Tamandua tetradactyla: one gene and its partner. The protein of the gene in region 2 purifies or fractionates together with the protein of the main gene of each other region. This does not show direct contact. Links are inferred from orthologs where the notes say so. Each region holds a gene or a part of one and is shown on either strand. Other genes may lie near its edges.

The links.
Region 1: the proteins of KATNIP (region 2) and CILK1 purify together in Homo sapiens (affinity purification with mass spectrometry; 3 studies listed by BioGRID and IntAct, with this or other methods). This does not show direct contact. The link is inferred for Tamandua tetradactyla from reciprocal best matches to the Homo sapiens genes KATNIP and CILK1.

Annotation. Positions count from the first base shown.
Region 1 is NC_135331.1:111,600,458-111,616,524, forward strand, and holds the start of CILK1 (serine/threonine-protein kinase ICK), read right to left. Parts: upstream 8,069-16,067; 5' UTR 8,064-8,068; coding exon 7,963-8,063; intron 1-7,962.
Region 2 is NC_135349.1:25,960,241-25,975,976, forward strand, and holds the start of KATNIP (katanin-interacting protein), read right to left. Parts: upstream 7,951-15,736; 5' UTR 7,870-7,950; coding exon 7,762-7,869; intron 3,522-7,761; exon of another isoform or gene 3,395-3,521; coding exon of another isoform or gene 3,370-3,394; intron 1,458-3,369; exon of another isoform or gene 1,373-1,457; coding exon of another isoform or gene 1,360-1,372; intron 1-1,359. UniProt on the Homo sapiens protein: May influence the stability of microtubules (MT), possibly through interaction with the MT-severing katanin complex.

The DNA of each region.
Region 1 (16,067 bases), on a different chromosome or scaffold from region 2:
ACTTCCCACTTCCGAATAATTAAAATATTGGACCTGGGGTCAAAAAACCTAGATCGGAGGTTCTGGGTCAAGATGGCGGCTTAACAACGTGCGCGTTTTAGTTCGTCCTCCAGAACAACTGCTAAATAACCAGAAACAGTACAGAACAGCTCCTGGGGCCACGTCAGTGACCAGACACACAGCGTACCCCAGTCTGGACCAGCTGGACCGGCTGCGAGCACCCCCCAAAACCGTGAGTTCCCAAAGCTGCGGTCGCCAGTGCCCCTCCCCCACAGGCTGCTTCCCAGAAGGGAAAGGAAAGGACTTTACCAGCAGCAGTGACTGGGCACAATCAAACGCCAATTGTGGAACTGATTAACAAATTCTGACTACTAAAAATAGGCCCCTAGCTTAGGTGAACCCAATCAAAGCGGAGGTTGCTCATTTTTGCCCCGGCACCAAGGGGGCAGGACTGACAGAAAAAGGGGGAAAAAAAAGAAGGAAACAGGTTTTTGTGGCTGTGTATCTACAAAGGCTTGACTGCCTCTGCATACAGCGGCAGGACTTCTCAGGCTGCAACTGCCCCAGGCACAGGCAGAAGTGAGCTCTTTTGGGGGCTTATCTGGAGCCTGTGCCTTCCCCAGGGGAGGGGTGAAGGCCCACCCAGGTGGAATCCCTCCATCAATGAATTCAGACACCAGTGCTTGGTAATTTGAAGCCATTAAAACCAGCCTACAACCTCTCCTCTGTCTCCAACAAACCCCCAGCCAAAGTTAAAGGTACCGCATCATCTTATGCTAGTGGGACCTGCAGTCAGACAAGCGCCACATACGGGGAAGGATAAGAAAAACAGAGTCCAGAGACTTCACAGGAAAGTCTTTCAACCTGCTGGGTCTCATGCTCAGGGAAAACCGATGCAGGTGACTCTTTCCTCCTGATAGGAGGCCAGTTTGGTCTGGGAAAATCTGGCTGGGGTCTATAATATATAAGCAGACCCTCCTAAGTGTGTGTGGGGGAAAGGTACCACACAAGCAGGGCAAAAAACAAGAAAACAAGAACTGAAAAATTCTCCTCTGTTAAACAAAACTTAAGCTAAAGGTTCAGATAAAGCTGAACAGAATGTCAAAGAACAGATAGACAACAAATTCATCCAGCAAGAAAACCCTAGATAAAAGAAGTGAAAGCAATCTCCAGAATAAACTAATTAAAGTAATTAAATGCCTAGACACCAGCAAAAAATAACAAATCACACTAAGGAAATTGAAGATATGGCCCAATCAAAGGAACAAACCAACAATTCAAATGACATACAGGAGCTGAAACAACTAATTCAGAATATACAAACAGACATGGAAAACCTCATCAAAAACCAAATCAATGAACTGAGGGAGGATATAAAAAAGGCAAGGAAGGAACAAAAAGAAGAAACTGAAAGTCTGAAAAAACAAATCACAGAACTTATGGGAATGAAAGACACAGTAGAAGAGATGAAAAAAACAATGGAAACCTACAATGGTAGATTTCGAGAGGCAGAACATAGGATTAATGAACCGGAGGACAGAACATCTGAAATCCAACAAGAAACAGAAACTATAGGAAAAAAAATGGAAAAATATGAGCAGGGACTCAGGGAATTGAAAGACAATATGAACCGCATGAATATACGTGTTGTGGGTGTCCCAGAAGGAGAAGAGAATGGAAAAGGAGGAGAAAAACTAATGGAGGAAATTATCACTGAAAATTTCCCAACTCTTATGAAAGACTTAAAATTACAGATCCAAGAAGTGCAGCGTACCCCAAAGAGAACAGATCCAAATAGACATACTCCAAGACATTTAATAATCAGAATGTCCAAGGTCAAAGAGAAAGAGAGGATCTTGAAAGCAGCAAGAGAAAAGCAATCCATCACATACAAGGGAAGCCCAATAAGACTATGTGCAGATCTCTCAGCAGAAACCATGGAGGCGAGAAGACAGTGGGATAATATATTTAAATTATTAAAAGAGAAAAACTGCCAACCAAGAATTCTATATCCAGCAAAATTGTCCTTCAAAAATGAGGGAGAAATTAAAACATTTTCAGACAAAAAATCACTGAGAGAATTTGTGACCAAGAGACCAGCTCTGCAAGAAATACTAAAGGGAACACTGGAGACAGATACGAAGACAGAAGAGAGAGGTGTGGAGAAGAGTGTAGAAAGGAAGACTATGAGTAAAGGTAAAAGGAAGGAAAATTAGATATGACATATAAAATCCAGAAGGCAAAATAGTAGAAGAAAGTACTACCCATACAGTAATAACACTGAATGTTAATGGATTAAACTCTCCAATCAAAAGACATAGTCTGGCAGAATGGTTTAAAAAACAGGACCCAAGTATATGCTGTCTCTACTCAAAGGTCATGAGGCCAAGGACACAAATGGACATTTACATGTTTATAGCAGCATTATTAACAATTACCAAGTGATGGAAACAGCCAAAATGTCCATCAACAGACAGCTGACTAAACAAACTGTGACATTTACATAAGATGCAATATTATGCAGCTGTAAGACAGAATAAAGTTATGAAGTATGTAACAACATGAATGGACCTTAAGGACATTATGCTGAGTGTGATTAGCCAGAAACAAAAGGACAAATACTGTATGGTCTCATTGACATGAACTGATGTTAGTGAATAAACTTAGAATATTTCCTTGGTAACAGAGACCATCAGGAGATAGAAATAGGGTGAGATATTGGGTGATTGGAGCTGAAGGGATACAGATTGTGCAACAGGACTGAATATAAAATCTCAGATATGGACAGCACAATACTACCAAACAGTAATGTAATTATGTTAAAACACTGAATGAACCTGCATGTGAGAATGATAGAGGGAGGAGGACTGGGGACATAAATGAAATCAGAAAGAAAGATAGATGGTAAAGATTGAGATGGTATAATCTAGGAATGCCTAGAGTGTATAATAATAGTGAAATGTACAATGTACAAATTTAAGAAATGTTTTTGCCTGAGGAAGAACACAGGAATGTCATTATTGCAGGGTGTTGAAAATAGATGATAATTAATACTTTAAAATGTCACCTTATATGTGAGACTAAAGCAAAAAATGTTTATTTGTTACAAAATTTATATTTTGACTAGAGCATTTCCTAATATAACTCATGTAGATAGTTTGATTGAATGTCATAAGTACTTGGAATCTCAGGTAGCACATGAGATTTTGTTGGTTTGTCCAGAGTGATGCCCCAATGAATCCCAGAGTGATTTGATCAGTGACTGGAAAAGTATTTGCAAGCCCCCTTCGGGGAATGGTGAGAGTGGGGAGAAATTCAACTTCCCCAAGTTGAATTCTTGATATTCTCACAAGCAGTGTGGACAACCAAAGTTATAGGCTGAGCCTACAGGCTTGGGGTTTGTTCACATGAAACTTAACCCCACAAAGGATAGGTCAAGTCTACTTAAAATTTAGGCCTAAGAGTCACCCCCAAGAGAGCCTCTTTTGTTGCTCAGATGTGGCCTCTCTCTCCAGCCAACACGAGGAGCAGTCTCACCACCCTTTCCCTCTCTGTGTGGGACATGACTCCCAGGGGTGTGGACCTTCCTGGCAACATGCGACAGAGATCCTGGAATGAGCTGAGACTCAGCATCAAGGGACTGAGAAAAACCCTAGAATGAGCTGAGAATTAACATCAGGGGATTGAGAGAACCTTCTCGACCAAAGGGGGAAGAGTGAAATGAGACTAAGTGTCAATGGCTGAGAGATTCCAAACAGAGTTGAGAGGTTATCCTGGAGGTTATTCTTATGCATTAAGTAGATATCACCTTGTTGTTCGAGATGTAGTGGAGAGGCTGGAGGGAACGGCCTGAAAATGTAGAGCTGCGTTCCAGTAGCCATGTTTCTTGATGATGATTGAACAATGATATAGCTTTTACAATGAGACTCTGTGAATGTGAAAACCTTATGTCTGATGCTCCTTTTATCTACTATATCAACAGAAGAGTAGAACATATGGAATAAAAATAAATAATAGGGGGAACAAATGTTAAAATAAATTTAGTTTGAAATGCTAGTGGTAAATGAAAGTGAGGGGTAAGGGGTATGGTATGTATAATCTTTTTTTCTCTGTTATCATTTTATTTCTTTTTCTAAATTGATGCAAATGTTCTAAGAAATGATGAATATGCAACTATGTGATGATATTAAGAATTACCGATTGTATATGTAGAATGGAATGATCTCTTAATGTTTTGTTTGTTAATTTTTTTAATTAATAAAAAAAGTTAAAAAAACAAACAAACAAAAAAAAACCTAGATCGAAGTAAGAAGGGGTTGCAAGGGAGGAAAAAGATAAAAGAAAGATGTGCCAAGTGTTATTGCAGGCTTCACCTCCAACAATTTGGTCTTGTCCCATGAAATGCTAAGGAATGGGTATCTAAGGTGAACTCATCCAGGGGCAGTGTCTTCAAAGCAGAAATTGGGAGGTGAAGGATGGGCCTATAGACTATGTGGGAAAAATCAACCTTTCCTTCAAACCCCTTTTGTTACTTTGGGAAGAAGGTAGATTACAGATTCCCCAAAGTCTTTTGTGAACTATGAGCTAACCCAAGTTTGATATTGACTCTAATTCTTCTACTCTGCCAGCTAGCAGGACCTCCCACTGCCTAGAGTGATTCAAGGGCCTCTCTAGGGATCCTTGGAATTCAGGGGCATCTTAAGAAATCCTAGATCAAACCAATTCTTCCCAAATCTCATGAAGCACAAGAATTCTACATAATAGAGATAACCTTGCCCTGTAGGAAAAATCCATCAGGTTTATTCTAATTAGATTAGAGTTACCTAATAGATCTTTCTGTAATGATGGAAATGTTCTACACTTTTTGGTACAATAGCTGCTAACCACATATGGCTAGTGAGCAATTAGAATGTGGCTGATGCAACTTAGGAACTGAATTTTTAATTAAATTAAATTAAATTTAAATTTAAATAGACACATAGTTATCGGCTATCGTCAGTACAGTTCTAGACCTTCCAGGAAAAGGGGTTGCAAACTATGGTCCAGGGGCAAATTTACCCTGCCATTTGTTTTATTTTTGGTTTTTCTTCCTGCCATTTGTTTTTGTATAGCCTATAAGCTAAGAATGATTTTTTCTAACTTTTAAATGGTTAAAAAATTCTGGAAAAAAAATCAAAAGAAGAATAATATTTTGTGACATGTGAAAATTATATGAAATTAGAATTTCGGTGTCTATAAATGATGTTTTATTGGCGTGCAGCCCATGCTTATTCATTTACATATTGTCTGTGACTGCTTCTGTGCTAAAACAGTAGAGTTGAGCTGTTACAAAAGAGACTATATGGCCTGCAAAAACTAAAATATTTACTCTCTTATCCCTTACAGAAAGTTTTCTAACCCATGGTCGAGAGCCTGATAAGAAAGAAAGAGAGCCATATCAGTCAACCACATTTTGAAGTTATATTTCAATACAATTCAACTACATTATTTCACTGGAGCCTTTAAACAGTCCTGTGAGATAGATGGGACAAAGTGAGGAAACTAAGATAAGGAGAAGTTGCATAACGTTCCCAAGGTCTCACTGCTGGCTGATAACAGACAAACTTCCACCTCTACTGTCTGTCCATGAGCTCACTTTGCCTCCAAGTTGAGTGACCAATTCATTTATTCATGTTCAGAATATAATTTAGTCCTTTGTAGTTGTAGGCCCTTTTGCTAGGCACTAGAGATATACTGATGAGAGCTGGAATCTTTACAGGAGGGCAGAAATGAACTAATTTTCCATGCTAAGTACAAAAAAGGAAAGGTCTAGAACACTATAAGAGGCAGAGTTCAAAACTACTTAATCTAGTCTGGGACATTAGGGAAAGCTCCTCCAAGAAAGTGACAATTCAATGGAGACATAAAGGATGAGTAAAACTTGGCCAGGTAGGAAGCATGGAGGTCAGAACAACACATTAAGGATCTGGGAGGGAAGGTATTTGGTGCGTATAAGAAGCTACAAAGCCAGTGTGGTTGGTACAAAGTAAGCAAGGGGGACAATGAAAGGAAGGAGATAAGGCTGAAGAAAATAGGCAAGGACCAAGTGATACAGCAATTTGTATATCATGTTATAGTTTTGGGACTTGATCCTAAAACTGAAAGAAAGACATTGGATACCGTCTTAGTTTGGGATCTCCAAAAAAGCAGAGCCTGAGGCATGGACTTGGGTGCAGGCAATTTATTTGGGAGGTGATTCCTGGAAGCCAAGGCAAAGAACAGTGAAAATGGAAATGGATAGGTAGGAAAACCAATGAAGGATTTCATTGGAAGCTAGGAAACTGAGCACCTTTTAAGGAGCCGTATAGAATGCACCTTGGTTGAGAGTTTCCCATGTACACTTGTGGTGGGATGCTGGCAGCAGGCATAGAACTGTACCACACAGCTGCACTGAAATCAGGTGAGACAAGGAGGTATGATGGGGCACGAGGGACATAAAGAACATTTGGCACAAATGGTTTCAGACAATCATATGAGTGTGTTTAAAACAATCTCTTCAGACTAAAATGAATAGGGGCAAGAATGGAAACCAGGAATCCTACAGAGAAAATTAATGTAGTGGTTGAGGTGGTGAATGATAATGGGTTGAATGGGAGGTAGCAGTAGGGATACAGAGAAGTAGGTAGATCAGAAAAATGTTTAGTGATTAGAATCTATAGGACTAGACGACTGCAGGTAGGGCGCAAGGGGAAGAGAAGTTAGGTTCTGGAGGAGGGACAGTAGTGCCACTTATTGAGATAGGGAATACTGAAGGTAAAACAGGTCTGGAGCAAGAGAGGAGAATATTTTGAATAGGAGTTTAGTTTGGGGTATGATGAGTTGGAAGAGTCCACAGGCCATCCAAATGGAGATGTTAAAAAGGCAACTGAATATAAATGCATGTGGCAGGCAGATTCTAAGATGGCCTCAGAGATCCCACCTGGTAGTCATAGCCTTGTATAATTCCTTTTCCTTCAATGACTTGTTTCAAGCCAAAAACTATAGCAATGTTGCAAGGATGTTACTTCTGTGATCAGTTTACAGAAGACTGTGACTTTCTTCTCCTTAGAAGAGTCTTTCACTGCCTTCTTGGATCACTTGTCTTGATGATGCAAGGAGCCAAGTTTGAGCTCTCTTTGGAGAGGCCCACATGGGGAGGAACGGAATGCTGCGCATAACCATGTGAGTGAGCATGGAAACAGATCCCTCTTCAGTCCAGCCCTCAGATGAGACCCAGCCCTGGCAGACACCTTGGTTGCCTCCTAGTGAGAGATCCTGAAGCAAAGAACCTAGCTTAGCCATGCCCAGACTCCTGACCCACAAAAGACATGAGATAATAAACATGTTGTTTTAAGCCACTAATTTTCAGCTTACACTGTTACACAGCAATGATTACTAAGACAATAGGTATGGACCTGGATTGCAAAGGCCAAGTGGGGCAAGGGGAACCTGTCAGCAGTCACCACGCCACCGTGTATGCACGACCCAGGGTAAGCCACTCAAGTTCTCAGAGCCTCAGTTTACTCTCCCGTAAATTGAGGTCATTGCCCAGCCCTTTATAACTTCACAAGATGAAAAATCACTTTGAAAAAGTATACAGTGCTAGGAGGGCAATGGTGCCTCAGTGGCAGAGTTCGTGACTGCCACGCCGGAGACCCAGGTTCAATTCCTGGTGCCTGTCTGTGCAAAAAAATAAAAAAAACAGTATACAGTGCTATATGCAAAGTAGCCAACCTAAAGCAGGAATGTTTTTAAGACCTCTAACATCATCCTTCCAGTCAACAATCATCTAACTTACAGAAATCAGCATCTAAGTGTCTTCTGCCTCCCAACCATTCTACTTAAGAAATTTTTCAAAGACAGGAAATAGAAAGAGTAGAGTTAAAATTATGCTGACATTGTGTAGTTCAGGATCAGTTTATGAGCACAATGGATAAAACTTACTTTTTAATAGCAATCAGTTCCCCAGACTCAATGCTCCTTCCCAGCAGGACAGAACCATAGGTTCCATCCCCAAGCTGCTTGATTGTTGTGTATCTATTCATGGTGTGCCCGCTCAGGCAGGACACTCATCTCAGGGCCGAGGCGGTTCAGTCCTGCAGTGGTAGCAGGCCTCCCCAGAGTGTAACCAGATTTTTCGATGGCAGCACCAGCACAAGGTATTCAGTACAACGTGACGATCTCCCAAATACATATTTTCAAAGATCAGTCTTCTGCCTGTAGAGAAAAATGACAAAAATAAATGTTAATGAACATTTTGAGTTGTGGGTTACATGTATTTTTATAGTCTAAATCATGGGTGAACAAACTACTACCATGGGCCAAACCCAGCCCACTGCCTGTTTTTATAAAGTCTTATTGGAACACAGTCATGCCACACATTTGCATATTGTCTATAGCTGCTTTCACCCTACAACAACAAACTTGAGTAGGTGGGATAAAGACTGGATGGCTCACAAAGCCTAAATTATTTATCTGGTCCCTACAGAAAAAGTTTAAAAATCCCTGGTCTAAATAATGCTCTTTTGTATTTTTTTATAAAATTAAAGATACCATGGTTGGAATGTGCATTTGTCACACACAGAAATGAATCAGCTCCAATTCAATACTTTTCTGCTGACTAATCCTCATAACTATGCTCAAAGAAAATTGCTGAGCTCAGAGAATTCATGCTAAATATAGTTTATTCTGTGCAATTTAGCAACAATTAGCTATGTAAACCATCAAAAGCTAAGGAAAGCTAAAATTAAAGATCCTCTAATAAAGAACTAATATGTGCCCCATAAACTATTTGTGGCAAGGCATCAACATTATTTTTACTACTGGACATCAGAAGCTAAGCAATGAGCTAGCAATTCAACTTCCATGTGTAAGGTGTGACTTTTGAACTCAGTTGTTTTTGGTTTTGTTTTTAGTAATAAGTCACTGATGTTTCATATATAAATTAAGAGAATTGTTCAGCTTGCCTATTAAAAAGACAAGGTAGAAATAACTTTTTAAAGTGACTGTAATATCTGGAGGCAAACGTTAATAAAATGCAAATACTTAAGAATAAGGACTTGTTTTTAAAAATTATTACTGTCTAATAATTCCAAGAATGAAAAAATCAGAAATAATGCTTGAAGCATGTGACATTCTGCATCTAAATCTACTCTGTACAGCTTTTCTGTGCAGAAGAATTCCAGTCAATAAACATAGAAACAGAAAAATAAAAATTCCTATTAGGCAAATGCTACAGCAGTAACTGCTATAACAAGTTGCTTGATGGATACTACAATTAGTGGGTAAAAGTTTGAGGAGATATTTGCATAGTCGCAAATTATCTCCAGGATATTTATTAACTTCAAAGGGAAAGAAGATAAATTTACAGGGGAGAAATCCAGCAGAAGTCACCTTAGCCAGGTGACCACTTTCAGTATTCCCAGTAATAATACATATCAATATCATGACTTCCTGAAGGGATGTACAGAAGGGCCCAGCATCACTTTTCTGGCATTCTTTCAAAAAATGTAGAATTTCAATCAAATCATGAGAAAACATCAGAGAAACCCAAAATGAGAGATACTCTACAAAAATTGACCAGAACTCTTCAAAATTGTCAAGGTCATGAAAGACAAGGACAGACCAAGGAATTCTCAAACTGGAGAAGACTAAGGAGACATAACAACTAAATATAATGTAGGATCCTGGAACTGAAAAGGGGCATTAGTAGGAAAATTGGTGAAATTTGAAGATGGTCTAGACTTTAGTTAATAGTATTATACCAATGTTAATTTCCTAGTTTTGATCATTGTTCTATGGTTATGTAAGATGTTACCATTTGGGTTATGTAAGATGTTACCATTGGGTGAAAAGTTTCTAGAATTCTGTTACTATGTTTGCAACTTATCTGAAGTCTAAAATTAGTTCAGAATAAAAAGCAAAAAAAAAATTTTTTTTAACCCATTTATGTTCTTGAGAAGGCTTTACATGAACTTGAACCTTGAGAAAAATGAAAACTTAACACCTGATTTCACCACATTCTACCATGTAACTAGAAGAGCTTTTAGAGATTGCTCAGCTTTTAGGGATCACTCTCCTCCTCCATCTCAGGCCCCGGGGTGGGGGGCGTTTTCCTTCCTCTTAAAGCATTTCAGGGTAAGAGTCCCTGCAACTTCCTTCAGCAACTCTTTACAGTGACAGAGTCAATTGTTGATTCAAAAATATTATAAGTAGCCCCTGGACACCAGACCCTAGGCTCAGATCTAGGGGTACACAGACTAATAAAATGTAGACCCTATTTTCAAAGAACCTAAAGATATGGACTCATGAATATGTGATAAGATATTTCAGGTATGTTTAGGGTACAGAATGTAGGGAGAGGTTAAGAAGAAAGCTCTCTGGCTTCCTCTTAGATCGATTCCACCTGGGCTCAGGAGGGCACTAAGAAGAGTGTGAAAAGAGGTGACCCCAGCTGAATTGAAAGGAAAAAAAATGATGTGTGTCAGGTAAATAAGGGTCTAGGACTCCAAACAGCAGAAACAAAGGCACTGCAGCTTGAATTTGAGCATTAAACGTGGGGAGTTTGGAACTGGAAAAAGGTAGTCCTAGAGTTTTGTTTGTGTCATTCTTTAAAAGCATAGACTTTGACTGGATCCTAAAGATTCATAAAGAGAAAGAGAGTGAATAAGCACAATCAAACGGGCTAAAATATTAACAAGTGAAGCCAAATAAAGAGTATATATGTATACTTTGTTGTCTGAGATCAAAGGAAGAGATGTTTATTTGGTACAAAATTTACATTTTTGGTAGCATACGATCTAATTTAATTTGTATGATTAGTTTATTTGAATATCATAATTACATGGAATCTTGAATAGGAGTGAGATCTTGTTGGTTTGCACAGGTTAGTGTGATGCCCTATACACCCCAGAGTAATTTTGGCAGACAATAAAAAATATTTGTAAAATTCCCTTTAGGGATTCGGGAAAAAGGAGGAAATATTAAACTTCCTCACCTGGGGCTCAATCTTGGGGCTCAGCCTATGAAACATTCCTGCAAAGAAGAAGAAAAGCCTACTTATAATTATGTCTAAGAGTCACCCCCAAAGAACCTCTTTTGTTGCTCAGATATGGCCTCTCTCTCCAAGCCAACCTGGCAGGTGAACTCACTACCCTCTCCCACTATGTGGGCCATAACTCCCAGGGGTATAAATCTCCCTGGCAACATGTGACCTGACTCTTGGGATGAGCCAGGACTTGGCATCATGGGATTGAGAAAGTCTTCTTGACCAAAAGGGGAGAGAGAGAAATAAGACCAAATAAAGCTTCAGTAGCTGAGAAATTTCAGAGTTGAGAAGTTATCCTGGAGGTTATTTCCTTATACATTATATAGGTATCCCTTTTAGGTTTTCAGTGTAATAGAATAGCTAAAAGGAAATACCTGAAACTGTTGAACTGTATTCCAGTAGCCTTGATTCCTGAAGACAACTGTATAAGCATATAGCTTTTACAGTGTGACCATGTAATTCTGAAAACCTTGTGTCTGACACTCCCTTTATCCAGGGTATGGACAGGTGAGCCAAAATAAATAAATAAATAATGGGTGATGGAATAAGGGGTTAAAAAAAATTGGGTAGATTGCAATAATAGTGGTCAGTGAGAAGGAGAGGTAAGGGGTATAGGATGTATGGGGTTTTCTTTTTTCTTTTTATTCCTTTTTCTGGAGTGATGCAAATGTTCTAAAAATAATCATGGTGATGAATACACAACTACGTGATGCTATTGTGAGCCACTGATTGTATACTTTGGATGGACTGTATGGTGCATGAAGATATCTCAATGAAAATATTTTAAAAATTAAAAAAAAAGAAAAGAAAAATAAAAGAGTATATAGGCATACTCTGAACTAGTCTTTTAACTTTCCTATTAGTTCGAAATTATTTCCAAATGAAATTTTGAAAATTCCCCTCAAAATGTTGAAGGATTCATTTCCCGGTGCCTGCTCATGCAAAAAAAAAGGATCTAACATATTAAAGGAAGGGAGTCATTTTAAAAAAAAAGATAGGTATATTTTTAAATCCTCTTTTTGGCTTAAAACATAGCAATGCAGATTTATTTACTAGAACACCTTCATACAATAGGATGCCCCCACTTTATGATGATTGTATTGTGGATTGCTGTCACTTTAGGCTATGACTCAACATAGCACAAAAACAGCATTCTGGCCACAGCATGAGCAGCTCTGGATTTGTTTTCCTCTCTTTTTCTTCTTCATATTTATCTGGTTTTGATATGGCATAAATGATTCATGCGGCATGTATAATTTCATTCTCCAACAAATTGCAACTCTCAAACCACCGTTCATGTCACCTTCCTGAAAAATCACTGGAACCTTGACTTATCAATTACATACTCATAAATTACATCCTTTATTTTAAAAAAAAGGAAAAGAAAGAGGTGGGGAGGGGGAAGAGAAGGAGGTGGTGATGAAAGAGGAAAAGAAGGCTTTGACGGACAGGCAATAAAATTAAAGTTTTTTAAATATGGGAAATAACATGATCAGATTTCCATTTTGTAATCCAGGTTTACAATATTTTTCTTCAAGTACAACCAAAGCTTGACTATTTTGATTTAAGCTAATTTCTTTGTGCTTAATTCTTAGTGGATGTAAAGAAACCATCTCATAAAAATATGTATGTATGTGAAAGTAGTAATCAAGTGTGTGGTTCAGCCTTCTCCTATCTCAATTACACAACGTTTCCTCATAGGACCTATTTTCCACTCCTTTAATTATCTTTGGCATTCATCCTTGGCATTTCTCCATCTCCTTGATGAATTGTGGTGATTAAAACTTGAATATGGAATTCATGTGACAGTCCTTTAATATATTCCAGTAGCATGTTGTCCCTTAATTTTTTAAAAAATGGTATTGCACTACTGATTCATATCCATCAATTATTAATTCTAAAGTCTTTCTTTGATAGTTTATGCCTAACTACTTCCTCACCCACTGAATTGTATAGCTGGGACAATGCTTTCCTAGATTATTACTGAGAAAGCTATTGTGAAAGAATTAAAAGTTTCATTGAAATCAAGATTAATTGGGTCATTCATTCAACACACAATCACTCTAACAATTCTTCCTTGATGCAGTTTGTCATATTACCACAGAACAAAATTCAATTATTCTGGCAGGGTTTGACTTTCCACCATACCAAATAGTTGCTTCTAGTATCTTATGTTATTCTGAGTAATCACTTAACAATTATACAAAGGATCAGCCAAATGTCTCTTCAAGCAATGATGGCAGGTTGACCAGTGTGTAATTTCATTCAACCTTTACTGAGGTGAGCATTATGCAAGGCTTTAGGGGTACACTATGCTTAAAGTAAGGGTCCCAGAGTGATTTGAAGAGTGAATAAAGAAGTATTTGTAAAGTCCACTTGGGGGAATGGGAAGAAAGGGGGAAAAATTTAACTTACCCATTTGGAGAATTCCTGATATTCTAGTAGGCAGTGGGGACAACCAAATCCCTAGGCAGAGCCCTCAATCTTGAGGTTTGCCCCTATGAAACTTATCCCTGCAAAGAATAGGCTAAGCCTACTTAAAATTAGGCCTAAGAGTCACTCACAGAGAACCTCTTTTGTTGCTCAGATGTGGCCTCTCTCTCTCTCTAAGCTGACATGGCAAGTGAACTCATTGCCCTCCTCCCTCTACATGGGATATGACTCCCAGGCGTGTAAACCTCCCTGGCAATGCTGGACAGAAATTCTGGGATGAGCTGGGACTCAACATCAAGGGATTGAGAAAACCTTCTCAACCAAAAGGGGGAGGAGAGAAATGAGACAAAATAAAGTGTCAGTGGCTGACAGATTTCAAACAGAGTTGAGAGGTATTCCTGGAGGTTATTCTTATATATTATACAGATATCCCCTTTTTAGTTTATGGTGCATTAGAGTGGCTAGAGGTGAGTACCTGAAACTGTAGAGCTGTGTTCCAGTAGCCATATTTCTTGAAGATGAATGTATAATGTTACAGCTTTTACAGTGTGATGTATGATTGTGAAAACCTCGTGTTTGATGCTCCTTTTATCTACAATATGGACAGATGGGTAAAAAAATATGGATAAAAATAAACAAATAAAAGGGAGAACAAATGTTAAATTGAGTAGATTGAAATACTAGTGGCCAATGAGAGGGAGGAGTAAGGGGTGTGGTATATATGAGTTTTTTCTTTTTTCTTTTTTATTCGTTTTGCTGAAGAGATATAAATGTTCAAAAAAAAATGATCTGCAGACGATATGATACTATACATCGAAAACCCAGAAAAATCCACAACAAAACTACTAGAGCTAATAAATGAGTACAGCAAAGTGGCAGGTTACAAGATTAACATTCAAAAATCTGTAGTGTTTCTATACACTAGCAATGAACAAGCTGAGGGGGAATCAAGAAACGAATTCCATTCACAATTGCAACTAAAAGAATAAAATACTTAGGAATAAATTTAACAAAAGAGACAAAAGACCTATACAAAGAAAACTACAAAAAACTGTTAAAAGAAATCACAGAAGACCTAAATAGATGGAAGGGCATACCGTGTTCATGGATTGGAAGACTAAATATAGTTAAGATGTCAATCCTACCTAAATTGATTTACAGATTCAATGCAATACCAATCAAAATCCCAACAACTTATTTTTCAGAAATAGAAAAACCAATAAGTAAATTTATCTGGAAGGGCAGGGTGCCCCGAATTGCTAAAAGTATCTTGAGGAAAAAAAACGAAGCTGGAGGTCTCACGCTGCCAGACTTTAAGGCATATTATGAAGCCACAGTGGTCAAAACAGCATGGTACTGGCATAAAGATAGATATATTGACCAATGGAATCGAATAGAGTGCTCAGATATAGACCCTCTCATCTATGGACATTTGATCTGTGATAAAGCAGTCAAGCCAACTCACCTGGGACAGAACAGTCTCTTCAATAAATGGTGCCTAGAGAACTGGATATCCATATGCAAAAGAATGAAAGAGGACCTGTATCTCACACCCTATACAAAAGTTAACTCAAAATGGATCAAAGATCTAAACATTAGGTCTAAGACCATAAAACAGTTAGAGGAAAATGTAGGGAGATATCTTATGAATCTTACAATTGGAGGCGGTTTTATGGACCTTAAACCTAAAGCAAGAGCACTGAAGAAAGAAAGAAATAAATGGGAGCTCCTCAAAATTAAACACTTTCGTGCATCAAAGAACTTCATCAAGAAAGTAGAAAGACAGCCTACACAATGGGAGACAATATTTGGAAATGACATATCAGATAAAGGTCTAGTATCCAGAATTTATAAAGAGATTGTTCAACTCAACAACAAAAAGACAGCCAACCCAATTACAAAATGGGAAAAAGACTTGAACAGACACCTCTCAGAAGAGGAAATACAAATGGCCAAAAGGCACATGAAGAGATGCTCAATGTCCCTGGCCATTAGAGAAATGCAAATCAAAACCACAATGAGATATCATCTCACACCCACCAGAATGGCCATTATCAACAAAACAAAAAATGACAAGTGCTGGAGAGGATGCGGAGAAAGAGGCACACTTATCCACTGCTGGTGGGAATGTCAAATGGTGCAACCACTGTGAAAGGCAGTTTGGCGGTTCCTCAAAAAACTGAATATAGAATTGCCATACGACCCAGCAATACCATTGCTAGGTATCTACTCAAAGGACTTAAGGGCAAAGACACAAACGGACATTTGCACACCAGTGTTTATAGCAGCATTATTTACAATTGCAAAGAGATGGAAACAGCCAAAATGTCCATCAACAGACGAGTGGCTAAACAAACTGTGGTATATACATACGATGGAATACTATGCAGCTTTAAGACAGGATAAACTTATGAAGCATGTAATAACATGGATGGACCTAGAGAACATTATGCTGAGTGAGACTAGCCAAAAACTAAAGGACAAATACTGTATGGTCCCACTGATGTGAACCGACATTAGAGAATAAACTTGGAATATGTCATTGGTAACAGAGACCATCAGGAGTTAG
Region 2 (15,736 bases):
GCCAACAGGGCCAAGCAGGGCCCAGAGCAGGAGGGAAGCAGAGCCAGTCCAGGGCAAACAGATCCCAGAGGCTCACTGAGGCCCTCTGCTGGCCAGAAGCCCTCCCAGGGCATCCTGGTGGGCCCCTGACAAGCTGTGGAACCTTCAATAAGTCACAGACTTTCACTGGGTCATATCTTCCCCTTACTTTTTTTTTTTAGAAAGAGAGTTGGGATGGATCACTTCTAGGTTTGCTTTCAGCTCTAAATTCTATTATGTCCATAAAGAACAGTAAAAAAATAAAATAAAATAAACAACTGAGGTGGACCATAGAAACAAAATATTAATACAAAGAACAAAGAGCTTAACTGTTGAAATTTGAAAGCAATTCTCTCTACTGGAGTTAATTAGAAGCTTCTTTATTCATTTAACTGGAAAATACTTCGCTTATTTACCAACGAAGATAATTCACTCTATGTCTGCCCTAGAAAGCTGTTGCCTCAGGTCCGCACAGCACTGAGCCTCTTTCTCCTCCAGGGAGCTCAAAGCGGAGACAGCGCCTTCTCACAATGGACAGAAGCACTTGAACCATGTTACACCGTGCCTGTCTACTACATTTAGCTTCTCTGAGTATCTTCCTACCTATATCTCATTTTAGTCTCACAACAACTCAGGAAAGGAGGTAGAAGAAAGTGACATTAATATCAACATATACTGCTTGCAAAATTGGGCGGGGTGGGGGGGGGGTGCATTCCTCTGCATTTTGCAAGGTGACCTGCCTGCTTCAGCTACAGAGCAATAAATAAGACCAAATGTAAATGATATGTGTACACCGCACTTTACAAAACAGATGTGTGCCTGGGGAAAAGAAAAAAGCAGAAGTGACGGAACTGAATTTTTGAAACTATAATACTATTCTCCCACTTATGCTATCAGAGAGGTTTTATCTGCATTTAGGATTTATTTCCAATGGTGTAAAGATTCTGACATTTCAATTTTACTTTGCTCTAGATGCAACTAATAATATTCATCACTACCATTTAGAGGGGAGTCGCGTCTTCCTTGAATGTTAGTTTCTACAGTCATCAGGCAGGGGAGAATCAGAGTCCAAATTACCTTTGCATAGGAGACTTAACCCATAAAGAAGACCACAGGACACAGCTTTAGTAAACCCCTTGCTGTAGCTTAATATGCATGTATAATTCGGCACATATGGAAATGTATAGTACATGATAAAAAATACATATGCCAAATACAATTTTATGGTATTTCTAATTAAACTATTCATACTGTAATTACTCTCTCTATTTCACCCCTTGGGATGAGAGCAGGAGCCAGGCACTGAGCTCATGACAGTTAAATGCTTGAATGATGCACCACCTCTGTGCTGCATAACTTCTCTGCACCAGGTTCTATGCACAGGTATCCTCTCCTGCAGCCTCACAACCAGTCTTTTGGATTAGGGCTCAGCAAACGATCTGGAAAAGGCCAGATAGTACATATTTTTGACTTAGTGGAACATGACATCATAAGGCCATAAAATCTGTGGTGCAACTACTCACTCCACCATTGTAGAGTGAAAGCAGCCAAAGACAATATATAAGCAAATGGGCATGGTTGTGTTTCAATAAAACTTTATTTTAAAAAAAAAAAGAAGGCAACAAGGCCAGATGCGGCCCATGGATTATGGTCTGCCAACTCTGTCTTTAGATGGATATCACTCTTGGCATTGGCACAAGATGATGGAAAAATGGGAAACAGACCGAGTGACTGAGCTTCTTCCTCAGGGTCACAAAAAAAATGTGGCTTCTAAGCAGTAGAGCTTGGTGTGCTCCTATTTGCCATTGTCTCTCTCATCATCATCACTATCATCATCACCATGACCATCATTATCACATCATCATTTATCATCATCACCATCAGCATGCAAGACTCCAGGGTAAGTCCTTTACATGCATCGATTCATTTACTCTTGACAGCTGCCCACCATGAAATAGGAACTATTATTATCCCACTTGTCAGATAAGGAGACTGAGACCCAAAGAGTTAGGAAACTTGCCCAAAAGCACGGAACTAATGAGGGGGAGCTTTGGTTTGAATCTAGGCAGTCCAGTGCCAAAGCTAGTGCCACTCAGTCAGGTCATGGAAGATTAGTACAGGAACACCAGAATGTTCTGGGGAGGGAGTTTAAGGAACTATTTCTGTGACCCAGCTTTTGAATATTCTTTGGACTCCTGGAGCAATTAATAAAGGGATTGGAAGAAAATGATTCCCCAAGAGACAAAGAAGATTCCTCAACATATCCAGATGGCTTACAGAGATGATCATCTAGAATAGGGTGAGAGGCGTAAAATGCCAAATGCAGAGAGGCAGGCTTGGCTGGAGTCACCCACTCCTGTCCACTCAGGTAAAATGCTCGGTCTTGGCAGGAACAGTCAGACTTTGGAGAAGAATGGTGACTCAGTTGGAACCTTGCAGTAAGAGGGCCTGTGCAGGGACCAAGGAATTTTGAACAAAGAACTTCTTTCCCCCCAGTAGGGTGACAATGCTTCTATTAGGCTACTGAAAGAGGGGCAACTTATTTCTTCTGTGTTCCAACTGTGAAGGCTCACCTTGCTTTCATTTTATATACCTATGTAATTTCATTTCAATGACAAGCATCCCCTGGAGATGCCATTTTTTCTTATTTAACATGATTGGCAAAAATTTTGCAGTTTGATAATACACAGCTGGCAAGACCTGGCAAACAGCCCCTATTGAGCATTGCTGTGAGGAGTGCAAAATGGTGCAGCTCCTTTGGAGGGTATTTTGATCACATCCTTCAAAGTACAAATGCATTTTCCTCTGCGCTAACAATACCACTTCCAGGAATCTACTGTAAAGATACATGTCTACAAACAGGAAACAAATGTATGCAAAAGGCATTTATTGTATCACAATTTGTAACAGCAAATATTTAGAAACAGCCCAAAGTCCATCAGTAGGGGGCTGGCCAAATAAACATGGCACATCCACACAACGAAGTGGGATACCTTGAAGCTGGAAAAAAAAAAGATGGAGAACCTTCTTATATGCTGCTCCCTGTATGTCCTTATAATATGGCCATAGATTAAATGGGAGAAAAAAAAGTGAAGGGGTAGGAAATGTATGTAGTAGGCAAAGCTTTCTCTAAGGAGGAGGGAAAACAAGAATACATACTTGTATAGGTCTATTTTGCTTAAAAAACCCCTGGGAGAAAGATTTCTCAATGTGTACTTTTTATATCATTTTTATTTTTGAGCAATCATTTAGTTCTATTTCCTATTAAAAAAAAAAAACTAAACTGAACTTAAAAGATAAAATGTCCAAAAGGCTGACTCCAATTAAAAAAGAAAAAAAAATAGAATATACCATGAAATGCTACCACCTTTCTCATCTGAGGTCCAAGAGAGGGCGGTTTGTCAGAGGCAGATGGAGTAGCGTGAACCTCGGGACCCCAAAGCTTGACAGAAAGAGGACACGATATTTTCAGAAGACAAACTGCCTCCTTTTAAGAGATCAATCTGTAATGGGTGAAAGATAAGAATGAAATGATGACAGAATATGGTTTCTGGAAATTGAAACAAGGCTATTGTTGACCTGCTCATTTATTTGAGGGCAGAGTTTTTTATGAAATGGCTAGACACAATGAGAAAGGAAAAAGGACCAGAAAGTGAAACTGTGAGCTGTCTGGATGGGCTGTCTGGAAATGGTGGTTCTGCATGCAGGTGGATTCCACCCGTGCTTACAGAAGTACCCAGCACCATCAGGCTCTTCCCCAGGAGAGAGCTCTTGGAATTTCTAGCCATGGGGAATGAGAAGGAGCTCAGAGAACCCCTGTGGCTTGCCCAAGGTCACTGAGCAAGGACGAGGAAGAGCTTGGGTTAGAAACCAGTCAGTCTGGCTGGATGTCTCATACTCAGGATGCTCACGGCACCTGTGGCCTGCCACCTGTCTTCCAGCCCAGGCCTGGGGAGTGCCCCCAGCAGCACTGTCATTAGCCCAACCCCTTTCCAACCTTGATTCAGGCTTCTACCTGCAGGGTTTGCACTGGAGCAGTGTGCACTGGAGCCAGGCTGATACTGTGGCAAAAGAAGGCGGCAGGTGGAGTTGAGGGCAGCCTGGAGAGCAAATGGCCTGGTCCAAAGGGAGACCCACTGTTCTGCTCCTGCTGGAATGGAGGCCCAGTTTGATAGGATTTCGTTTTTCCAGAGAAGTTTCAAGTTCAGGTTTGTGAGAAACCTAACATTCTAATGTTGGCAAGTAATTTTTAAAAATTTGAAGCTCGATACAAGCCTGAAAAACAGGTCTCTGGTTTCCTTGTTACCTTAATGGGTAAAAATACAGAACCTGCCACACCTCCCTTTATTTCTCTTTTCCTTTTTAAGGAAACCCTGTCAACTAACTGAAATCTATTAGACAAAGAATGTGGCTGTTGGGAGGCTACATAAATGCCGGCTCTGAGACGCATCCTCTCCTTCACCTTCAAATTCTCCCCCTCCATGGGCCTCCAGCGTGGTTCTGGGCCTTTCAGTCACATTCCATCTTCCACAAGCCTGAAACAATATCCCTGTCACTTTTCCTTTGCATTTTCTGTGTAACGTGAATTCCCGGGACCCGTCTTACTGCCAAATTACCTGAGATAAACAAGTCATGCTAAGATCCTCTTTTCCTTTCCAAACCCAAACAGCAGCTGGCAGCTAGAAATGGTTATTTATAACCACACATTGTTTCATATATTTGCTTGGTTTAGAAGCACTTAGACATATTTTTTGGGCGGCTTCATAATCAGATGAGCGCCTGGGGACCATGTGGGCAGTGGCTACGAGGGTAGGCTCTGGGTCAGCCTGTCTGGCTCCACTTGTCACCTGTTTGGGAATCTTAATCGTCCCCATTCCATTTAAGTTTATTGTCAGGGTTAAGACGGTACATGTAAAACACTTCTCGGTGCCCAGCACATACAGGTACTTGGCAGTTATTAGTTTCTTTACCCAGAAACTGTTATTCATGGATTCCAGCAAGTTCTGTTGAATTCTGCCTCCCAGATATACCCTGCATCCATGGGCGCCTTGGCACCATCCCTCTCCAAGCCTTCCTGATCTCTCATTGAACTTCAATATCCACCAGGTAGGTGTCCCTGTCTCCACTAGGGCCTGGCTTTTCCCACGGTGGCCATCTCTAAATACGGCCATATCTCATGCCTTCTTGACCCTCCAAAATTTCCCTCTGTGTGAAGAGAAGAATCCAAAATCCTTTCCCTGGCTGACCCCATGTGGGCTCCCGGACCTCACTCTTTTCTTTCTTCCCCTCCCTCACACTCACACCCTCAGAGCTGCACTGGCCTATCTTCTGCTTCTTGGATGTACAATTCCTTCCTGCCTCAGGGCCTTTGCCCTCACTGATCCCTTCTTGGAGGACTCTTACCTTCAGTCTCCTACAGGCTGGCTCCTTCTGACACATGGGCTCTCAACTGGAAGAGCCCTACTTCCTCAGAGGGGACCCGCCCCCATTTCTTCCTCCTTGGATCCTCTGCCCAGAGCTTATCTGAGCTTTCCCTTATGATTTGTGTGTTTGTGGTCTGTCTCCCCAGCTGAATCTCTGCTTTTCCACCACTGAACTCTCCACATCTGGAACAGTGGCTGGAAAGGAGTAGGGACCCGTCGACATGAACAGAATCGATGAATGAGTAAATGACCACATTTCTGAATGGACAATGTAGGAAGGGACAGGCGGTGTAATTATGAACTGCAGTAAAGACTTCATCTTCACTTGTAATGTGCCTTCCCGGCCCTTTCCCCTCACTATTTCTGGGATGGTGAAATGAAATATGACAAAGTAAGTTTAATACCCCAATGGAGATAATTGGAAAATATTGATTTTTTTCCCCATTTGGACTGTAAAGATAAGAAAATGCCACACTTATGTAATCTAATCAGTAGCTTATGTGACAGCACATTTCCCAGGCTGAAATGGACTTTGTTCTACCTCTCTATCCATCATATGAAGCTCCAAAATCCATTCCCACTTCACACCCTGATCTAATCCCATCCTCCCCATTGAATACAAGTATGGACAATCAATTTGTGAAACTATGTGTGTCTATGTGTATGTATCCAAATTAAAGAACTTTTGGAGTATCTACTCCCCCACCCCCAACCCCCCCCAAATCTGCCAAATTGCGCTGGGGAACACAGGAAATGGTGCATGAGATCCCCCAGAACCATAAGGAAAAATGCATCCCTTTCTCTGACAGCTAACTTTTACTAGAGCTTACCAAGTGCCATGTATCATTCTAAGAATTTTGAGTGGATGCATTAATTTGATCCTCATAGCAGTTCTACAGGAAGGTCCTATTATTATCTCCATTTTATAATTTAGGAGTCAAGGGCGGTACAACAGTGGCTTAGTGGCAGAATTCTCATCTGCCATGCCGGAGACCTGGGTTTGATTCCTGAAGGCTGCCCAAGCCAAAAAATAAAAAAGAAGTTTGAGTACTGAGAAATAAAATGTAATACCCCCAAGGTTACATGGCTGGTAGGAGGGGGAGCCAGAGTTCCAACCTCCTTAGTCTGATGCAATAAGCTCTGCTCTTCTGCAACTCTCCAGAATAAGAAGGCTTGGGATCCTGAGCAACAACACGAAAAGAGGGAAAGAAGAAGAGTTTAACCCTTTGCTCTGGTTTTCATGGTTTCCTTCTGCAGGCTTAAATGAAATCTCCATCACAAAGCAGAAGCTTCCACCCTGTGGGCTCTTTAGGAGGAAGGTTTTGCTGGTCTCACAACAGACCTGGGCCTTGTTCTCCTTACTCATGGGAGAATTAAGTGTCAGCGGGCACTTAATTCCCCTGTGCCTAAGCCTCAGAATCCGATAGATGACGGCGATCAGACCAGATCCAAAGTCTAGCTCACTGGCTGAAGCCAGCCTGCAGATGTTTGTCTGATCCCCCTAAGGTTTAAACAGAATGTTTTTTTCAGCCAACCTTTACAGCTTGGGTGAGCTGACATTTAAAAATCCTGATTTCTGGTTTCTTTTGAAAAACGAAAAGACCTGGCAACACAGGGCCTGTGTTCCTGCCTGGGTGCTGAGGGGCAGCGCCCTGATGGATGGCCCAGCATCTGCCAGTTCCCCACCTCTACCTCTCCCACTCTCTCCCAGCCATTGAGGCTAAGTCCCAGATGCCATTTATCGTCTTGCCTGAACAGTTTTCTTTACAGTAAAGATGAAAGTGAAAGTTCACATCTCCCGGCAAAAGTGAGATCATCATCACTGGAATCACCAGAGCACTAACGATTATACATGCAATTAGTGTGCGCCAGGTCCTGACGGAAGGATGGTGCCTCGAATCACTCATTTAATTCACCCAACAACCCTAGGAGGCCACACAATTATTATCCCATTTTATACATGGTGGAGAGAGGGAAGAGGCTGCATGCTTCAAGAAATTAGTAGACAACAGATTTCTTTATGAAAATGAAGACTATTCCGGGGTGTCAAATGAGCAAAATCTATTTGGGTGCTGAAAGAACCTAACATAAAGCAGCATAATTAAATAAACCCTGCCCACTGTCTCATTTACATTACCTGCCTGGCCCCTGCACTGGATCCTCAACATCTTCAGATATCCCAAGGTTCTACAAATGCGACCCTGGACTAGACTGGTTAAGTGCCCTCCTCCCCCAAGCTCTAACATCCTGTGATTTTAGGTGGGTTCATAAAATGCATCTCTAATAGTTTAAGACTCTGGAAAGGAAACACAACACATACCTGAAAACACAAACCTGCACAGGCAAGCACATATAATGTAGCACAAGTTTGCTTAGAGTTCTGAAGTGTGTGGTCCCTGTGGGGGTTCTGTAGCTGCTGAGCTGACATGCATGGCACCTTCCCTCCCTGCCGGCTGCCTCACCACATGGGCCTTTATGACCCACAAAGGACACGTGAAGACAGGGGCTGTCTCCAGAGAATCCATCAGCTATGGGAGGTCAAGGTAGCAGCAGGCTCCAAAGTGAGGTGGGAGGTGGGAGTAAAAGTGACTTCATTGGGAAAGGAAATGGAGGGAGGATGGGAAAAGTAGGTGGAGTGTGGTGGTATGGAGCTGTAAGTACTATAGAAAAATATGTTCTGAAAATTAAACCATTCCTGTGGATGTGAATTCATTATAAGTAGGACATTTTGATGAAGTTACTTCAATTAAGGTGTGGCCCACCTCAATCAGGATAGGTCCTAAGTCTATTACTGGAATCTTTAAAAGAGGGATGAAATTCAGACAAAACGAGAAAGCCACAGAGGGAACTTTCAATTTCAAAAGCTGAACATCAGTAGAACCTGGAAGAGAAGATGCTGCCATGTGCCTTGCCATGTGACAAGCTAAGAAACAAGGATCACCAGCAGCCAGTCCCAGAATTCAGGAACTCCTGAATTCTGTATTCTCCTGTATTCAGGGAGAAAATATCACTTTGATGATGCCATGATTTGGTCTCTGTCCTAGGCTCAAAACAAAGAGCAAATGAATTCCCGTAGTTTATGCTAGCCATTTTATAGTATTTGCTCGAGCAGCCTAGGAGACTAAAGAGGAAGAAAAGAATGAAAACAGAGGCTAAGGGGTATAGTAAAAAGTGACTAGGATTGGAAATATTACTCCAAGTGGGCTTAATCTAAAGGACACTGTCTGGAGGGACCATACCCCTCCACTAAACCAGCAAAGGCCTCTGAGAACTGGGCCTGGAGGTTTGGCTTTGGATACAAGGGCCTTTACTCTGTCTGCCAGCAATGCACCGAGGGAAAAGTTGGTTAATCTCTTTCCTGGTTACACTCCTGGGCCTTTTTCTGTGCTAGTCTTGGTGCCAAGTGTTGAACACACAAAGGAACAAGAGTAGGTTTCTGCTCTCAAAGAAGGAAAAGGCATGGAGCCCAATGACTCTGATGCAATGCTGCATAAAAAGCTGTGGGATCCCACCAGGCAGGAGGAGCTCATTCTGCAGGTGGTGCCAGCTGCTGTGATCTACAGCAGGAGGTGTCATGAGAGAATGGTGAAGTTGGCAAGGAGCACGGTCAGGGCCAAGGCTGTGCCTAAGAGATGGCTAGCGTTATGAGGTAACTTGGGCAGGCATTGAAATCTCAAGTGCCTCCAGGGCTAGGCCAGTGGTATCAACGCAAGAAGTGGGCACCTGGTGACTGGTACCACCAACCAAACTGTCAGCATGTATCCAGGGTCAAGGGAGTGGGCACTAGCAGGGCCAAAGCATCCTGTTCTTCAAGAAAAACTGAGCAGTCCAGGTTTTATGTTAAATCTCTATTTTTAAATATAAGAAAACTCTCCTATGGCCCCAGTTCAGTCCAGTATAAAACCTCTGGGCATGACTGTGGGTTGGTGACCGTGTAAAGATGAGGCTGGAGATCAGCAGAACAGCCAAGTGGGGGATGCGAAGGGGAAATGCTTCTCCAGGGGAATTCTCCAATTAAAGATGATATGTCTATAGGGCAACTGTGAAGGCCACAAGGTCAGGCTGTTCAAAAATCCCATGGGCACCAGTAGGCAGGCCAATGCGATTAAGAACAACTGGCAATTGCTTCATCTTATTTAAAGTGCTCTGCAAACAGCTTTGAGATTTTCTTTCCTGCCACATCGCTGCTCCTGAGCCCTTTCCTACTTGGAGACAGAGGAGCAGCCACAGGGTCAAACCCCAAGGGAGTTGAGAAGGCAGTAGAGGGCAGGGCCTTTAAAACAGCATTTGCCGGTTTGAAAGGATGTATGTACCATAGAAAAGCCATGTTTTAATCTTAATTCCATTTAGTGAAGGCAGTTGTTTCTTCTAATTCCTATTCAGTACTGTGTGTTTGAAACTTTAATTAGATTATCTTCCTGGAGATGTGACTCAATCAAGAGTGGTTCTTAAATTGGATTAGGTGGAGACATGTCTCCACCCATTCTAGGTGGATCTTGATTACTTTACTGGAATCCTATAAAAGGGAGATTCTAAGAGAGCAGAGAATGACATAGCCATGAGAAGCAGAGTCCACCAGCCAGTGACCTTTGGAGATGAAGAAGGAAAACACTTCCCAGGGAGCTTCATGAAACAGGAAGCCAGGAGAGAAAACTAGCAGATGACCCCATGTTTGCCACATGGCTTTCCAGATGAAAATAGTCAAAACTTGACTGTGTTTGCTATGTGCCTTCTCACTTGAGAGAGAAACCCTGAACTTCATCAGCCTTCTTGAACCAAGGTATCTTTTCCTGGACAATTTAGATTGGATATTACTATAGACTTGTTTTAATTGGAACATTTTCTAGGTCTTAGAACTATAAACTTGCAACTTATTAAATTCCATTTTTTAAAAAGCCATTCAGTTTCTGCTATATTGCATTCTGGCAGCTAGCAAACTAGAACAGATTTTGGTACTGAGAGCGGGGTGCTGCTGTGGTTTGCAAATACCAAACATGTTGGAATGGCTTTTTAAATGGATGGGGGGAGGATTCTGGAAGAGTTATAAAGAGCTTGATAAAGAAGACCTAGAATGCTTTGAAGAGACTGTTTGTAGAAATGTGGACTCTTTAGAGTCTTCTGATAAAGTCTTAGACAGAAATAAGGCACATATTATTATAGACTGGGAGGAAAGCAATCCTTGTTTTAAAATGGCAGATAATCTGGCAAACTTGACTAGTGGCTTTGGCTGGAAGGCAGATTTTAAAAACCATGAACTTGGATATTTAGCCAAAGAGATCTCCAAATAAAATGTGGAAAGTGCAACTTGGTTCCTCCTCACAGCTTACAGTGACATGCAACAAGAGAGAGAGAAGCTGAGAACTGAACTCTTGAGTACAAAGAAACCAGAAATTGATGTTCTGGAAAATTCTGGGCTTCTAGAAAGGGAGACCCCAGAGAATAGTGCCCCATGTGAGGGGTTGGCCAAATGTGAAACCAGTCAGCCATTTCAGAGAGAGCCAGGATTGGACATGGAGTTATCCAGGAAGGGTTTGTGGAAACTCCTTATGTCTGACGGGCATGATCCAAGGCTACTGCATAGAAAGCCAATGAGAGCGTTGTGGGATCTGTATAAAGAGAACCACTGCTAGTCGGGACTGAGAATGACAGAGAAGGGACACACTGGAGGAAAAATAACTTCAGAGGCAAAGCCAAGGAGGCTGGGGTCTGAAATCAGGAAGCCTTGGGCCAGGAGAGTGGATGCACCCAAGTAGGTGGAGAGGGTGAGTTTACCCCAAAGGCAGAGGGTGGGCCTTCCACCTGGTTGCAGTGGGATGCCTCAGGCCTTGGAGAGGGTGAAGCATGTTCCTTGGGGTTTGGGGAGAGCCTGGCTGCCACTAAAGGGAGGGGTTGAACATGTGTCCTGGAGATGGCAGAGAGCCCAGGTGTAGACCCCGATCCTTGGAGAAGGTGGAGCTGGGAAAAAGGTGGTCTCCTCAATGTCCCCCAAAGTTGCATTCAGAGAGAGGCAGGCCTCTGCGAAGGCCTTTGGAAAGGGTGGGACTGTTGCTTTCTAAAACCTTGAAGATAAATGACTCTCAGACTTTGAAATCTAATGGACTTTGCCCTGCAGGTTTTCGAAAAATATATGGGTCCAGTGACCCCTGTGTTCCTTCCAATTCCTCCCTATGGAAATGGGTATAGGTATCCTATGACTGTTCCTCCTTTGTATGTTGGCAGCAAATAACTTGTCTTGAATCAAGGTCCAGAGCCAGAGGAGAATTTCTCTTTAAGACAGACTATGCCTGTAACTAACTTTGATAGGAGTTTGCACTGTTTCTAACTTTGTATTTCATTTGTATTGCTACTGAAATGGTTTAAGGATTTCTGATATTATGATGGAATTAATGTATTTTGTATATGGGGAAAACATGTCTTTTTTTTTAGGGTCCAGAGGGTATAATGTGCCAGTTGAAAGGAGGTATGTACCCTAGAAAAGCCATGTTTTAATCCTAATCCCATTTTAGTAAAGGCAGCCATTTCTTCTAATCCCTATTCAGTACTGTGTGTTTGAAACTTTAATTAGATCATCTTCCTGGAGATGTGACTCAATCAAGAGTGGTTCTTAAGCTGGATTAGGTGGAAACGTGTCTCCACCCATTCTAGGTGGATCTTGATCAATTTACTAGAATCCTATAAAAGGGAGCTTCTAAGAGAGCAGAGAATGACATAGCCATGAGAAGCAGAGTCCACCAACCAGTGACCTTTGGAGATGAAGAAGGAAAATGCCTCCCAGGGAGCTTCATGAAACAGGAAGCCAGGAGAGAAAGGTAGCAGATGATGCCCTGTTTGCCACCTGCCTTTCCAGATGAAAACAGTCTAAACCTGACTGTGTTTGCCATGTGCCTTCTCACTTGAGAGAGAAACCCTGAACTTCATCAGCCTTCTTGAACCAAGGTATCTTTCCCTGGACACCTTAGATTGGATATTTCTATAGACTTGTTTTAATTGGGACATTTTCTTGGCCTTAGAACTGTTAACTTGCAACTTATTAAATTCCCCTTTTTTAAAAGCCATTCAGTTTCTGCTATATTGCATTCTGGCAGCTAGCAAACTAGAACACAGTGTTTATTTCTTAGCCAACATAGTGGGCAGGCTTTGCCCCAGACCCTTTCCCCAGATGTGAGAACCTGGTCAAATACTGGCAGGGGGATGGTGAAACAAGCTTTTGATGACATTCTATGGATGCTTCATCCTGTTGACTCCTGGCTTTGCTACCTACTCACTGTGAGCCATAAAATGGGCACAATTATATAATTGTTGTATTGGGCCACCTCGAGAATGAAATGAGATTCACCATGGCAGGGGATCAGCAAACCGTTCCTGAAAAGGGCCAGCTGGTCAATCGTTTTTGACTCGGCAGGCCATATGGTCTCAGTTGCTGTAGCATGAAAGCAGTCATTATGACACAGATACAAATGGGCAAGGCTGGGTTCTAGTAAAACTTTATTTACAAAAGCTGGCAGTGGGCCAGAGTGCTTCAGGAAAAGTGAAGAAGTGTACAAATGTTATTTTCTAGAGACTTCTGTGTTGGATTTTATATCTATTTATATGACTAGCTCTCCTACCAGACTATGAACACTGTAAGGACGAATAACATATCTCCTTTTCAGATGTAAGCTAAAAGAACAAGTTTGGCATGGTCTAATGCACAATCGAGTTCATAGGGATTTTCACAACTGTCCAAGTTTAATAACAGAGCAGGGTTGTAACTTCAAACACCTATCGGGCTGAGGCAGGCAAGATGCCTACTGAGGGAACCTGGCCAGGTAGGGGCTAGGCCAATTGGAAAGCACACCTCCCTTCTAAGGGAGCAGTTACCATGCAGCTCCAGCCTCAAGGGAATTGTTGCCATGCAGAATTCTGATATGGCATTGACAGACTTTTCTTACTATTATCAAGAGAACCATAATCAGATATATTTGAGAAATCTCCCAAATTTTCCACTTTGGCAATTAACTCCAGAAATTGAAAAAGAATACATTATGGGTCAAATAAGCATGCTTGTGGGTAGCATTCAGCCTGGATGCTACCAATTTGCTACCTCTGATACAAAGAATTCATTTCAAAATCAACTACCTCTCTATTAACTAAGATCTAGAAAATTTTAACTTATATTTGGGGAAAAAATTAGCCCTACAGAAAAGATTAAAGAATATTACAAGGAGCTTCCATATATATTCTTCACCTGAATGTAGTCTTATTCATCCTGTTATCTCCAGATCCCAGCACACAGAAGCCACTGAAATATTGTCAAATCAATAAATGAACACCATAAGGAAAAATAAGCGAAGCAAAGATTGTCAAGTTCCTATAATCTAAAGTGACAGGTGGAATGAATGCGGAAGAAATAGAGAGAAGAAGAGTGACCTGGACAGAAGGATGTGTGCCAAAAAGAAAGGATAACAGAACAAACGCAGAGCCCATATGGCACAAACATTTATTTTGCCTGCTGAATGCTTGCTTTGTTTCATTTTATTTTATTGTTATTATTATTTTTTTTGCTTGGTACATTTTAAGCAGTGAGAGAAACAGACAAATCACCAGAAGCCCAGGTAAACACCACACAAGGACAGAAGGGACAAGACAAGCTGACAGTGTACTTTCAGCAAAACCTCACTAATTCAACCATCATCCGTTTTGCAGTTTGGGATTATTTGGACAAGTGAGGCTAAATTTCATCTTGGTGTTATTAATTCTTTGAGAAAGTTTGCTAAGCAAATGAACAGTATAAACAGGGGAAATGTTGAATGTTTGCTCTGGAGGGGGAGCAGAAGCAAATGAACAGCTTTGAAATCCTTTCTAATTACACCGCTCTGTTGAACTTTTGTCTAATTATTATGTTCCTAGAAAACTGAGTAGAAAAATTTTTTTCCTCTAAACCACCTCATATTTTGAAAGCACTAGGGGAAATCTGACTTTAACACAAAGACAACGTTTTTATAGACAGAAGATTCATAGTTTGCCAATTTATCTTAGTGTAAATAAAAAGTGTCAAACATTCAGTTTTCTTTGAAACAAAGACTAAACTAATTGCGAAGGCTATTATTAGTTAGAGAGCGCAACATATCCTCCCTCCCTCTTCTGCTGGTAGTGTAGAATTTTGCCCAGTTGCAGATAATGATAGCATATAGGAGTTACCATGTAACAGCGTATTTTATATGCCGCAATTGATGTTATGTGTTTCCATATCTTGACTCACCAAATGCATAAACCAGGGTAGAGTTCATCATCATCCCCATTTTGCTGACAGAAAAACTGTGGCTCAGAGAGTTCAAAATACACAGCTGAGATTCAAACCCCAGGCTATATGATCCAGCAAACCTATGAGCATTATGCCGTGCTGCACTGTAGAATCAGATAGGACCTGCTCAAAACCAAAGGGCCAGGGAAAATGCTGTGAAAAGCTATGGTGATTTGAACATGCAGAATAAACCAAACCACAATATGGTTTGGAGATACTTGCTAGATATTTAGGCTTTTGTGAGTTTAGGGAGTAAATATCTTTCTAATAAGGCTGAATTTGGTTTATCTGATTGTCTAGAATCATAATTCATCAAGGTATCCTTCACTTTACCCAGTGGATATGTGCCTAAAAACTTGTGTGTAAATCAAACTTTTAAAACTTGGGATGGAAAATGGGATTCTTTGAACGTTAAATCCAAACTTAGGGCAAATACTTTCTTAAAGAAAATCCATTATTCCTTTTGGTAACTAAGTCTGCCATTGGGCCATAGTAATGTTCTTTGGATTGATGGGATATTAATAGTTGGAAGTGAAAGCAGACTTTTTGAAAAATGGCTCATAGTAACATTTCTCAAAGTCTATTCCATGAATCCTGGGGGAGGTCCCTAAGATCTTATCAGATGATCTGTGAGGGTTAAATTATTTCACAACAATTTTAAGATGTTATTTGCCTTTATTACCGTGTTGATATTTACACTGATGACACAAAAGCAATGGCAGGTAAAACATGAATGAATCAAGGCAGTGACACTATTAGATATAAGTATATTCTTTACCGCCACATGCTTGCAGGAAAGCAAACAAAAAATTGCTTTTTCTTAATGTCCCTGTGAAGCAGCAAAAATTAATTTCATTAAATCTCTATCCATGAGTACACAGCTTTTTAATATTCTGTGTGATGAAATGTGAAGCATGCACAAAGCACTTCTGCTATAAATCAAAGTATGATGGTTGCCACTAGAAAAAAACTCGTTTGAGTTTTTAAGTATACACACTTTTTAAGTATACAC